Coturnix japonica: one gene and its partners. The protein of the gene in region 2 interacts with the protein of the main gene of each other region in a pairwise test. Links are inferred from orthologs where the notes say so. Each region holds a gene or a part of one and is shown on either strand. Other genes may lie near its edges. The genes, in order: ESRRG, DEUP1 and TXLNB.

Region 1 (4,327 bases), on a different chromosome or scaffold from region 2:
TAAGATGGTGCCCTTTCTGTCCTCCTTCTACATAATGTTGTAGGTCTGATTTACAGAAACATCCTCTCAATGACCTGCCCTGACAGAAAATGGTTTACATTTTGGCATGTTTTTTTTGTTTTGTTTTTTTTTCCCCAAACCTTCCTTTCCCTCCTTATTGAAAAGTTGGTTGCTTGTTGTTTTGTTGGTAATGGATTTATTTTTCCAGTATGTCAGTCTATTTTTGTCTGTATTAGGTGAGTGACTTGCTGTTAATCTAGGCATAAGCTAAATCTTACCTTCCTGACACACACAAGTGAACCCACCCAGGTTAACGAGTCATCTCAGAAGAACAGGGAAAGCAAGACTTGTCCTGTATCTACCTACACATCTTCAGTTGCAAACTCTGCTTGGCAGAGACTGGTCATCTGTAAAAGACTGATGAGAAATTCTTTAAAATATTTCTGATTGAAAAACACAAAAGGTCTGGAACTACTCCTGGCTTTTCCATAAGATGTAAGTGTTAAAAATTTGGTACTCAAATGTGTCAATTTGGTATGCTGCAAGGTGACAGTTTTGCCTATGGAACACTAAAGAGTTAAAATTTTTGAGACATTTAGGGTGGAAGTTGTGAGTTTAGATTGGTACTGATCTGAGTTGTTGTATTACATAAAGCACAAAGTTATTTTTGTTTGCATTTCTGACCAACTGCTATTATTATTCCAGGTTCCTTCTTACAAAGGACGTGTGGTTAGCAGAGGCATGACAGGGAAGCAGCGCCCAAGAACAAATTAATGGAGAAATATTAGTGGAATGCAGCAGGCTTGGGGGAGAGCCCAATTTACACAGAGAAAGCACTTAAAGCAGGGACATTTGTGCCTGTGCACACAGGGACACAGCAAGGTTTGGTTAGCGCATGCACATGGAAAAGGATTTGGTTATGGTTAGAATTTGTGAGTGACAGCCATGTGACAGCTGGGAGTCAGCAAAGATTTTGTAGGGATGGAAATTCTTGAGATAGGACACACGACTGCTCATGCGATCTGCATGTGCCTATCATCATGCTGTATTATAATAGCTGACACCCCAGTGTACCAGTTATCCAAAGGAGAGAGGCTATAAATTAGGAAGAGGATTTGAGGAATGGTGGATATGAGAAATGAAAGTCATAACATTTAAAAATGAAGGGATAAATATAACTTGTTTTTCTGTTATCCATACAAGCAAACAATTTCCAACCAAACCGCACAGTGCTAAAACTCACATTTCCATGATTTATCATTAGTGACAGGTTATTATTTCCTTACAATTTAGATTTTTTTTCCCCTTACTAACTTACCTAGAAAGGCCTCGATCCTGCAAAGACTTATACAACTACCTCATTTTAAGTACGTGAATAATCTCACTGATTAAAGTTACTCATACGTTTTCAGGATCAGGGTATAAGCCATAATGTGCAATTAAGCAGAGGCATTTCCAAACACTGCTTCATTTTCCCTTCCATGGGTCTCATGCAAACGTGAAGCTACCGAAGATGTACAATTTAAATCAAACCTGCAAATCTGAAATACTTTCCCTTTAACACTGAATTCAAGCCGATACAATATCACATGACCTTTACCGTAATTTCTATTAAAATCATTTCATGTCTGGTTGCTTCTGCTATCCTGGCTCATTTGTATTGTTTACAACAAGTCATTGCTCTCGACAGTTAGTGGTGGCTGAATCCATGGTTACCAGTTTTTACATTCACTAGTTAAATGGAATGCAGCTCTTCTGGGGGGTTTCATGGAGAAAGCTCTTAAGAAACCACAATCCAGCCATCAATCAGGCTAACCTGGGAGAAATTAATCTTATAAACATAAGGATTGTTGCATATTAAAAATTTATCAAAAGGGAGCTCTGGGCTCTTATTAGTTGTAGTCACAAAAGCGGACAGGTTCGGCTCTGACTTAGCGCACAGAGGACTTGGTTCTATGGTCTACATCTGACATTCATCCATGTTGTGCCTCCTCTGGTGCTCACTGCTAATAAAACTATACTGTTTAGAGGCTTAAAAAAAAAAAAATCTCAAACACTTATTTTACCAGAAATGTGCTCAGAATATAAATAGTGCTTAAATACAGGTTTAACCAGACTGCAGTCCCAGCAAAGTAACTTAAACAGACACAGACAAGACCGTAAAACACAGAACAGACAGCTCTGAGTAGAATTCAATTAAGACAAAAAATACCCCCAAACACTGGAATGTTACTAACAAGTAAATTAAGCTGCAAAAACAGATATATTTTATGGCTACCTAAGAACAACGTGCGCTAATTCCCTTTGCCCTGTTATTTATAGTTTGTCGTAGGGTGGGGTTGCCAAAATCAAAAAGCAAAGGAAAAACTTATCTGCACAATGGCTACCAAAAATCATTTTAAATCCCTAAAAACATAAGTTCTGTACAGGATGATGGCTACAATCATTGTCCCACGAGAGCAACAAATAGTTAAATCAAACACATTACTAGCTCATCTACTGCAAAGTCACTGTATCAGAAGCCCGAATTGATTTGTTTCCTTAGAACAAACTGAAAATGAACGTAACATAGCATCGGAAAATAACCCCTCCTGCACTGCTAATCGGATATTGTACAACGGTTGATTGCAGCACTGCTCTGTGCTATTGTTGCCTATAGCATACATACTTACAGGTTCTGGGTTCTTCCAAGAGTTTGGTGCAGTTTCAAGGACAAATGTCTTAAGGAAGTCTTTCTACTGTGCAGCAGTGATCCTAGCTCTGATCTCATTACATGAGCAAAGTGCTAAATCTGACAATATAAAGGAAACTTCCTGTGTGAAGAAGAAATCTTGGAAAGTCTCAGGGTTAAAAAGGCTCCTTAAATGTGCTGGTTGATTTGCTCCCTAGTTGTGTATACACAGTAGCAGCTGATCTCTGTTTGCAGCCCTGCAGAAAGAAACCTTTGCTGAAAACCAATGGCATCACATTTCAGTGGAGCTATTGCCAGGCTCTGGAGAGCAGAGCAACCTTTGACAACTTCACCCAGTCTGAATCACTGGGGCTTGCTGCATGTCCTACAGGACTTCAGGAACCCACATTTAACATATTAGCACCATTAACATTATCTGAAACCCCTACTTGTTACAGTACAAGCAGGAAGTCTCTGTCACAGTAAAAGGTTTTCGTCTGTCAGGACTACAAACTGCAGAATTCTCCATGAGATGTTTTGCTTTACCTTGATCCTGGTATTTGCAGATGAGAAGCTGCAAGCTGCACCCAAAAGCACTTTATGCCTCAGAATTGATCAATATGTACAGTGGGCATCCTGCTTATCCTAAATATAACCCGAACCTGCCCTGCATCAGCTGCACACACCCCAGCTGTTTTCTTCTGATACAGAATACAAACCAACAGATTTGGGTAGTGGAGGAGGCCAGTTCTTTCATTTAATAGCCAAGGTAGACCCTTTAGCACCGTGTCATATCTGTAGAGCCCAGTATCCTCAATTTGGCAAAGCCTGGGACTCCAGTGCAGTGACTCCAACCACACATTAGTACTGCCCCAGCTTGCAGCTTGGCCTCAGCACCACGGGAGACAGGCAGGACCCATCCCCACTCTTGCACCTCTTACTGCTGTCCACATGAGTTGATGAAACCAGAAAAGTGATATATAAACATGCTAGAGGTGTTTCAACCCCTAAACTTGGCAGCGAAGTTTGATTTTAAAGAATTATCAAGGATTAATTTCAATTTAGTTGCCTCAGTGCTTAGCCCAGAGTAATACTCAGAAGAACAATGATGACCCATGTCCAGAGCATGACCAAGACCCTGCATGCTGCTTTTTGGGGGGGGGGGGGAGGAGGGGAGGAGGGGGGAGGCTACCGCTCTCTGCAAGATAACAACCAAACCTCAAAACAACATTTAGAAAATCACTTTTTTGCAAGTACATCACTACAGAGTTGGGTTAGGAGTAGCTAAGGTTTTATTTTAGGCATTCATAAAACAGATTATTCACCACACTCCTTTCCCCTTGGGCACTATGACTATCCTAGCTCCTAATATATTGTGTGTTATTTCTTTAACATTTTGAACTTTATTCCAAAGGGCAGAAAGCAAAACTGACAGTACATCAAGACAGCAAGCTCAGTGATTCAAACAGGAAAATAATTGAGATCCTGTGCACGCACAACATCTGATCACGCACGTTGCACACACGTGCACACTCGCAAGCACAAACAAGTGTAAGTGTTGGTGGCCCAATTTTCAGAGGTACTCACAATTCACACCCTTTGAATTAAAAAGCACCAAAAAGAAACATAAATCTTCTTCTTGAAGAGACAAGGCAA
Region 2 (3,304 bases):
AAGGGAGGTGAGATGGCAGGCATCTGGGGACAGTAGGAAAGGGCAGTGCTGTTCCTTTTCCCTTCTCAGATGCGGGCATTGCCGCTGTAGCTCTGGCTTCAAGGCTTGGTTAATTGCTGCAGAAAATCTCACGTCTCTGCTGCACGGAGGGATAAGCAGTGGCTGATGGATCCGGGTTATGGGAGGAATACGTCTAGACATCTACTGACCTCTCTGGCCCTTTGTAGGAAAGAAGTTCTGAATTGTGCAGGAGGTGATGTGTGTTGTCTCTCTTGTTTGCCTCCAAAGGCACCAAGTGAGCTGTTGAATCTTTCAGCATGGGGTTTTGGACAGCCCATGGTGAAGGGGTTTCTGCCCTTGGATTATTTTGTGTATCCAGGTGCTGGGTTGGTGAGTAGTGAGAAGCTCTGCTAAGCCACTGCCTGGTTCTCTCTCTGTATATGTGGTCTGTTTATCTCTTTGTCCATCGCTTTTCTTAGTCGCTCTTCGTCCTCCAGTCCAGATTAGTTTGAGGAAAACCACGTTTTCTTTTCCATTACACTTGCACTGGAAAACAAAGGGCAAGAAATCCCTTCTTCACTCTCAGCAGCAGAGAAGTGCTATTTCTGAATGCTCTCATATCTAACATTGGGGTCTGAATCTACTTCTGGCGCTACAGCTCTTGTACTGCAGCTCTGGTGCTGGGGAGCAGCCTGTTGGGAGCAGTTAGCAAGAAACATTTTGGAATGTGTCAATATTATCAAATCAGTACAGGAACCTTACGTGAGCCAGTCTCTATTGGCTTACCTCGTGGGGAAGTTAGAGCTTTCGTGTTTCCAAGAGAAACTGTCTCACTCTGCAAAGAAATGGTGGCTTTTCCCTGGTGACTCGGTGTGAAAAAGCTCCCAAAGGCTTTCAGCGGCCCCATGTCCCAAACAGGCATCGGCAGGAAAACTGAGGTCAGCTGTAACTCGGTGTTTTGCTCTGTGAAATTGCCTGCATCAAGAGAAGGAACACATTTACGTGTACATTAACCAGTGTTTGTCAGCTCTTGGAGTAAAGCCAGTTCTCCCAGGGCCAAACAAACACTGTGAGTGAATGAGTAATAATCTGTTATTGTCACTCTTAATTTATGGATGGGTAGATAGAGCAGTGTTCGCCGTTTTAAGTTGTCCTATTTGCTTGGAAGGCTAAAAATAATGATTAGCTATCAGCCTGGAATTGGGGAGTATCTCTACTATGCAACCTTTGTAAAACTGGGATGGTAAGAAACATCATCAAAACATTCTTCCAAGGAGAAAGATGCATGTTTTTTAATAGGAACGCTTAAAATTGTTCAACTCTAAGGCCTGGCCCATATTAAAGGCCGCAGAGAGGCAAATAGCACAGCATCCCTATGGAGCAGAGTTTGAAGCGTTACAAGTCGCTCGTGAGATGAAATTCTGCTCAGAACACCCTGTGAAGTCTGCTGAGAGATCCCTTGTCTGGCTGCAGAGAAGTGTGCAATATCGCACCTAAACGCACAGGCAGGAGATGGGTGAGAATTACAGACCTCATGCGCCAGCTGCTGAGTGTGCAGCGCCACGGAGCTGCGATGAGAATGGCAGCGGATGTCTGACTTCTCTAACAAATTGCCTCTCCCACCCACTCCTTTAGCCTTTCTTTCACTTCCATACAACTTTTCCTTCCAAGTGTGTTTTTTTTCTTCTTTCTTTTCTCTGCTATTCTCCTGCACTACGGGGGCTTTCTTGCTCTTTCTGTCCAGGCCTCATTAATCCTACTCACCTCCATATTTTACATGGTTGTTTCCACCCCCCCCCAATGGTGTTAAACTTCCTCTCTGTGTTTTTGCTGAATGAAATAACAGCAAGAAGGATCAGCATTGATGCTGTAGATGAGAGGATGCCCACAGCCCAGGGCTCTGGCTGCATCCACTAACACCGTAAGCAGTGGAGAATGGGTTAGTGGTTTCTCAGCCCCTCTGAAAGGGAGTTTCTAGGCAATGAAAGGGGGTTTCTGTGCTTCAAAGCCTTAGCTGCCAGTTGGTCTAAGCAGGCAACTTGGTAATATCAAAAGCTAAAATACCCCCCATTAGAGAGAAGCTCACATCAAATATGTTCCAAACTTGTAATCTCCCAGACTGTGGACACCCATGCCCTGCAAATGTGCAGCTCCCAAACCATCTGCACATCCTAATGCTGCGATTTACACTGCTACAGGCTCAGGGTGCATCCCAAAGTGTTGTCACTGATGTGAGCCTGCTGCTCTTGTGGTGAAGAAAGGGTCTGCTGGACTGAGTGCTCCAGACGATGCCCTTCCAAATGAATGTGAGCAATGAAAGGAAATGAATTGTATTCTCAAGTCAGTTGGATCTCGATGGAAATGTTTAAAAACCAAACCACCACCAAAATAAAAAAAAAACCAAACAGCCCATAAACCCAGCAGCTCGGAGGAGTGTTTCTTGCAATTGCTCTGAAAGATGGAGCTATTGAGATTAATGTGAATTAATCTACACAAAGTAAGAAAGATACCTACTTAGATCTCAGCAGCAGCAGCAGGTGCTTGCAGCATTATAAATAGAAAGCAATACAAATTGAGGTGCTTATTAAATTTGCCTTTATGATGCTTTGAAGAATTGCAGAGGAACACAAAAGAAGAATTACCAGCAGTGCTGGCTTAGGAGGGTGACTTAAAATAGCCGCGCTGCCAAAGGAACCAGAATGTGAATTGGAATAACTGCTGGAGCTGCTCATAAGGGTGGTCTCACAGCCATTTGTCCCTCACACGGGGTGGCTGACTGAGAGCTGAGCACGGAGGTGATTGAACAGTGGAGGGCTTATTTCTTTTTGCCCAGTTTTAATCAAGTGTTGCGTTTTAATACGTTTTCCAAGAGGTTGCACTCTAATCTGGGATTGCCTGTGTTTAAAAAGTTTCTCCTTGTCTCCTTTTGGTTCTTCCCCTTGTTGACAGAAACTGATTCTTCAGGAAACCTTCATGGTTGGGGAACGGGTTTGTTTAGAATTCTTGCTGCCTTTTTGGGTAAGGCTTTTGTGAGGATCCTGTGTGTCCTTCAGCGTTTTGGTGGCTGAGCAGGGCAGCTGACAAATGGCCTTGTAGACCAGATTGGAGCAGCAGGCTCAACAAGCAGAGACGACATTAAAAATGAATCAAAATCAGTGGTTTGGGTGGTGGGTTTTTTGTCTTTAATGAGATGCTCAAATTGATTGACTTTGGCAGGGAGAGTACCAAGAAACTGCAGTGTGGGGAAACCGGGATCAGTGAACTGGGGCTCTGTGAGATGCTGGATCCTACCTGCTGCCGTGCT
Region 3 (4,223 bases), on a different chromosome or scaffold from region 2:
CACTTACTATATCATACTGAGGATTGTGTTTACACAGGCAAGCAAACATTTTAGCATTTTCTTTCATTCTCCTTTAGGCTAAATCAGAGATCTGATAACTGCTTTCAGCACAAACACAATGTCTGTTAAGACTTAGCACCTTGTTTTGTGTAATGGATTCCACAGTGTGAGAGAGTTTATATTCAGGAAGACAGAGCAGCTCTCATCTTCTGAAAACAGCCTTTGGCGACGGGAAATTTTACTGCAGTAATTCCCAGTCCTGCTCTTGCTCCAACTTGTTTAACCTTGATATGCATCAGGAGTTCTGTCTTATCTGGCCATAAAAGACTTACAATGCCAATCCAACAAAATCCCAAGTATTTACATTACTGCTGTCTCAGACACAGTAATGTCTAAAAATTAGGTGGCTGATCCCAGAAGAGAAGTTCCTCAGCCCCTTAATTTCCAACAGACTGAGGCAAAGGAGACAGAGCCTGCTTTTTGACTCTGCCTCTTGACTTCTGTGACTCCTACAGCTATCACTGTCTTCACACACACAGGGATTTTCTATAGGGCCTTAGCTTATTTTATGGTGAGGGGTAGGACTGACCAGTCATTTGATTGACTCTGAGTGTTTGGTCTTGTTTACTTTTTTCCTCCTACACTTCCAAACCCTGTACTTGCCCCACAACTCTGAGATCAGTATCTCTCTCAGCCCTACCTTTTTGCACGCAATTTTGATTCCAGACAGTCATAGTTGCTCCCTACAGATATTCCCTACAGACTGAGAAAATAGTACAGCCATACAATGCTGTTTCTACATCAGCCTTGCAGTTTTTAGCTCTGTGTCTGCTTGAGATAGCCAGTCTAAATTTCAAGCCCAGACCCTAGGTGTGTGTGTATGTTTCACTTTGATTCTGAGTGTAAGTCTGAAACCCTAAGTTTGTCTTCATCATCAGCAAAGTTAGAGAAAACCATGCTGGAGTCTGTGGGGACAGCATTGCAAGTCATGGCTGGGAGGAGGTGTTGGCAATGCAGCTCTTGGTTGCTTAGCCAGGAAGACCCAGGACCTAGCTGTAGTGATGGTCTTCCACCACTAGGAAGCATCCTGAGAGCCTACTGCCTCCCTATGCTGACTGTGGCAGAGCTTCTCCTTTCCTCTCCTCCCTCAGTAAACACTCAGCAAGCACATCCCAAGAGAAGGACGGACCTCCTTTGAACACTGCCCCAGCCTTGGATGAGAGGTGACTGATGCCAGGCACAGGCTGATGCCTTTCTGTAGGAGGACTCCTGTCCAGACCTGCTGTCCTGCAGTGAGACTGGTGCCTGGGGTTGATGCAATCAGCATGTTGGGTGAGAGAGCACACAAATGCGGCAAACACGCAACATAACCAGAGGCAACAGAAAAGAAGTGTGCAAGTTCAGTTAGATAATGTACTGAGTTGGTTTAGATCTGACCGTATCCCTTAGTATTTCACATATATGGCACTATCTGCATTCACTCTGCTTAGACATCTGTCAGTGCTTCCGAAGCAAAAGGTTGGCAAAGCAAAAACTCATGAGCTGTGTTGTTGCTGCTGGACAAACCACCCCACACAGTGCCCTGTGCCAGCCCTCCTTGTGCTGCTGGGGTGGAGGTGCTGCTGTAACTGGAAGCACAAACTGAGCATAAAACACAGGTCTTGAGCTTGGGCTTGCATGCTGTCACAATTTATTACTATTATTATTATTTTGAACAGAACTCTTACCATTCCTTCTCACAGGAATTTCTTTGTCCTTCCCTTCTTGCAGTCTGAACTTCTGGAGGGTTTACTAATTCGCCTATATTTAGCACCTGCCTCCCCATGGGTCCAACAGAAAGACACATGGCACCTGCTCTGCAGCCAGGAGTTATTTTAAGCACTTCTAAAACGGGGAATAGTATTTCACACTTTTTGCTCAAAATTCACATACTCGCACATACAAGTTCCCTAAAACAAAGTGTTCTATATAATTACACCAGGCAGCATATGCCAATAAAACCTAAAGCTTCACTTCAGCATATCACCATACTAAACTACATAACACCTCCCAGCAGCAAACATTAAACCCTGAAATGGCCAGCAGTGGTGTAGATCCAATTACCCTCTAGAAATATAGAAGTGCCTTCTTATAGCCTGAAGGCTGTTCTATATATTACTTCAGAACGCTATGACAAAATCAGCTTTATCAACTATGTGCTGCAGCTGAATGGTGTTGTGATTTATGCATGATTTTCTAGCACAAAATCGAACAAATCTGGCTGTTTGGTGGCACGTCTTCTTACAGGCATGGATAGAGCCTGGACCCAGAGACTTTCTGATGTCTCCTGTCTTGTCTTTCATGTGGTACCTGAGTCTTCATCAGTTTTTGTTGTCACAGCCATAGCCTCTATTTGCACCCAAAAGCCAGCTCTCCCAAGTCAGCTTACATTTTTTTGATCATTCAAGCATTTCATCCTTTCACCAATGGGCTTCCATGCTCTCCTGTTTTCCTCACATGCCACACAGTGCCCAGGCTTTCCAGTGGGGAAAGTGGGCTGACTGTCTCAAAGGGAAGCACTTAGATTAAAGTCCTTGTGCCATGCCACCAGCAGTAACAGCAGGGAAGCTCTTTGTCAGACTTACCAGAGCAAAGAGAAGTGCAGGCAGAAGTCAGGTAGAAAGCTCAAACCAGGGCACAACAGCAGCAGAACACCGGATTATAATCCTGCCACCAAGAAGATCAAGTAAGGGGGAAGGAGAGAGTGACACAGCAGGAACAACCACTGCAGAGCCCAAATGCGCACTATGCAGGGGACTGGCTGTGATAGGCGAGCAGGGAGGCTGCCTGCTAGTTGGCAGCATAACCCAACTATGTTGGCTATTCCCTTCTCTGACAGAGATAGCACGAGAGGTCAGTGACTCAGGCCCTTAGAAAGAAGAGATACAGGAAGGATTCAAATACAGCTGCTACTCTTGAAAGCTAAGTCTTAGTCTATCAAGGATTTGATGTGTTGTGCTCTGTGAAACTTATCTTTATTAAACATGGACTGATCAAACTCTAAGTCTTCTGTCTACACCAGGAAGACTAGGGTGGCTTTCCACAGTGTGAGCTCACACCTGTGACTGCCCTTTGCAGTCTGGTCTGGATTTGTTATAAACCTGATTCCTGGTCATAGACTCACAGGAGGACCACTGGATGTCTCTTGCCTTTTGCTCATAGCAAGCTTAGCTATGAGCTGAGACCAGGTCTCTCAAGACCTGTATTAAGTATTAGCATTAAGAGACTGGGCAACCTGTCCTGCTGCTTGGCTGTCCTCAAGGTGAAAACGTTTCTCCTCACATCTGGGTTGAACCTCCTTTCAGCTTCCTGTCCTCCCACCTACACCCCTATGGAAAGCCTCTATCTGTCTTCTTGTTAATCTCATAGGTACTGCGGGCTGCAGTTTGGAGTTCTCAAAGCTCTCCCTTCTCCATCCCACCTTCCTTAGTCACAACATGGGGCAAATAATCCAACCCCAGCCACCACAGTGTCCCTCTGGTGAATGGACTCATTTCTGCGACTGGAATGCTAGGAGAGATGGCTGGTGTAGTCTTCTCTTTGAGTCAAGGAGCTCTCAAATAAATGTTTTTGTTGCTGCCAAGGTAACTTGCCTGACCTACTTTCTTCATGATACCGTGCAGGCTCACTCCGGCCTGAAGTTGTTTGTATAAATAGGCAAGCACTCCTCAGGGAGTTCAGCTGCATGCTGTTTATCCAGCGACCAGCATCTCCCACTGCTGTGGCCCACAAGTCACTCAGGCAGCATCTCAAGATGCCAGATGGCCTAAGGACCATCTGCTGCTTACTCCCTAGGGAGAGATGTAGGTCAGTTTAATGCACAAAAATGCAAGCAACTGGGAAGCAATAGACTGGTGCTGGAAGTGGCAGGCAGTGCTATGAGAAGAGAAATAGGACTTCAGCTCCAGTGGAAAATAATAAGCCTCGGAGCAAAAATAGGAGGAAAAATAAGTATATACTAAAAAAATTTGGAGTAATTTCTTAAACTGATGCATTGTGTGGCACTGGAGGATCTAGAAATGTTTTGTAGCAATATCTGATTCATGAAGAAGTGAGAGAGAACAGCACTGGACTGCTCAATATCTAGAAGTACTGTCTTAGAGGTATTTGATATGTTGAGAGCATCCTGGTCTTTCTCTTCAGAGGACTAAAGAACTTTGTGGAGATAGTTATCTGCTGGGAAA

Evidence for each region.
Region 1: the proteins of DEUP1 (region 2) and ESRRG interact in binary tests that used the Homo sapiens proteins (3 or more experiments, as listed by UniProt). The two-hybrid records come from large-scale screens. The link is inferred for Coturnix japonica from reciprocal best matches to the Homo sapiens genes DEUP1 and ESRRG.
Region 3: the proteins of DEUP1 (region 2) and TXLNB interact in binary tests that used the Homo sapiens proteins (3 or more experiments, as listed by UniProt). The two-hybrid records come from large-scale screens. The link is inferred for Coturnix japonica from reciprocal best matches to the Homo sapiens genes DEUP1 and TXLNB.

What each region holds. Positions count from the first base shown.
Region 1 is NC_029518.1:17,480,676-17,485,002, reverse strand, and holds the start of ESRRG (estrogen-related receptor gamma), read right to left. Parts: upstream 2,921-4,327; 5' UTR 2,771-2,920; coding exon 2,673-2,770; intron 1-2,672. UniProt on the Homo sapiens protein: Orphan receptor that acts as a transcription activator in the absence of bound ligand. Binds specifically to an estrogen response element and activates reporter genes controlled by estrogen response elements.
Region 2 is NC_029516.1:166,248,366-166,251,669, forward strand, and holds part of DEUP1 (deuterosome assembly protein 1), read right to left. Parts: exon of another isoform or gene 3,292-3,304; intron 976-3,291; coding exon 787-975; intron 693-786; coding exon 622-692; 3' UTR 547-621; coding exon of another isoform or gene 536-546; 3' UTR 1-535. UniProt on the Homo sapiens protein: Key structural component of the deuterosome, a structure that promotes de novo centriole amplification in multiciliated cells.
Region 3 is NC_029518.1:48,823,692-48,827,914, reverse strand, and holds the start of TXLNB (beta-taxilin), read right to left. Parts: upstream 2,827-4,223; 5' UTR 2,625-2,826; intron 1-2,624. UniProt on the Homo sapiens protein: Promotes motor nerve regeneration. May be involved in intracellular vesicle traffic.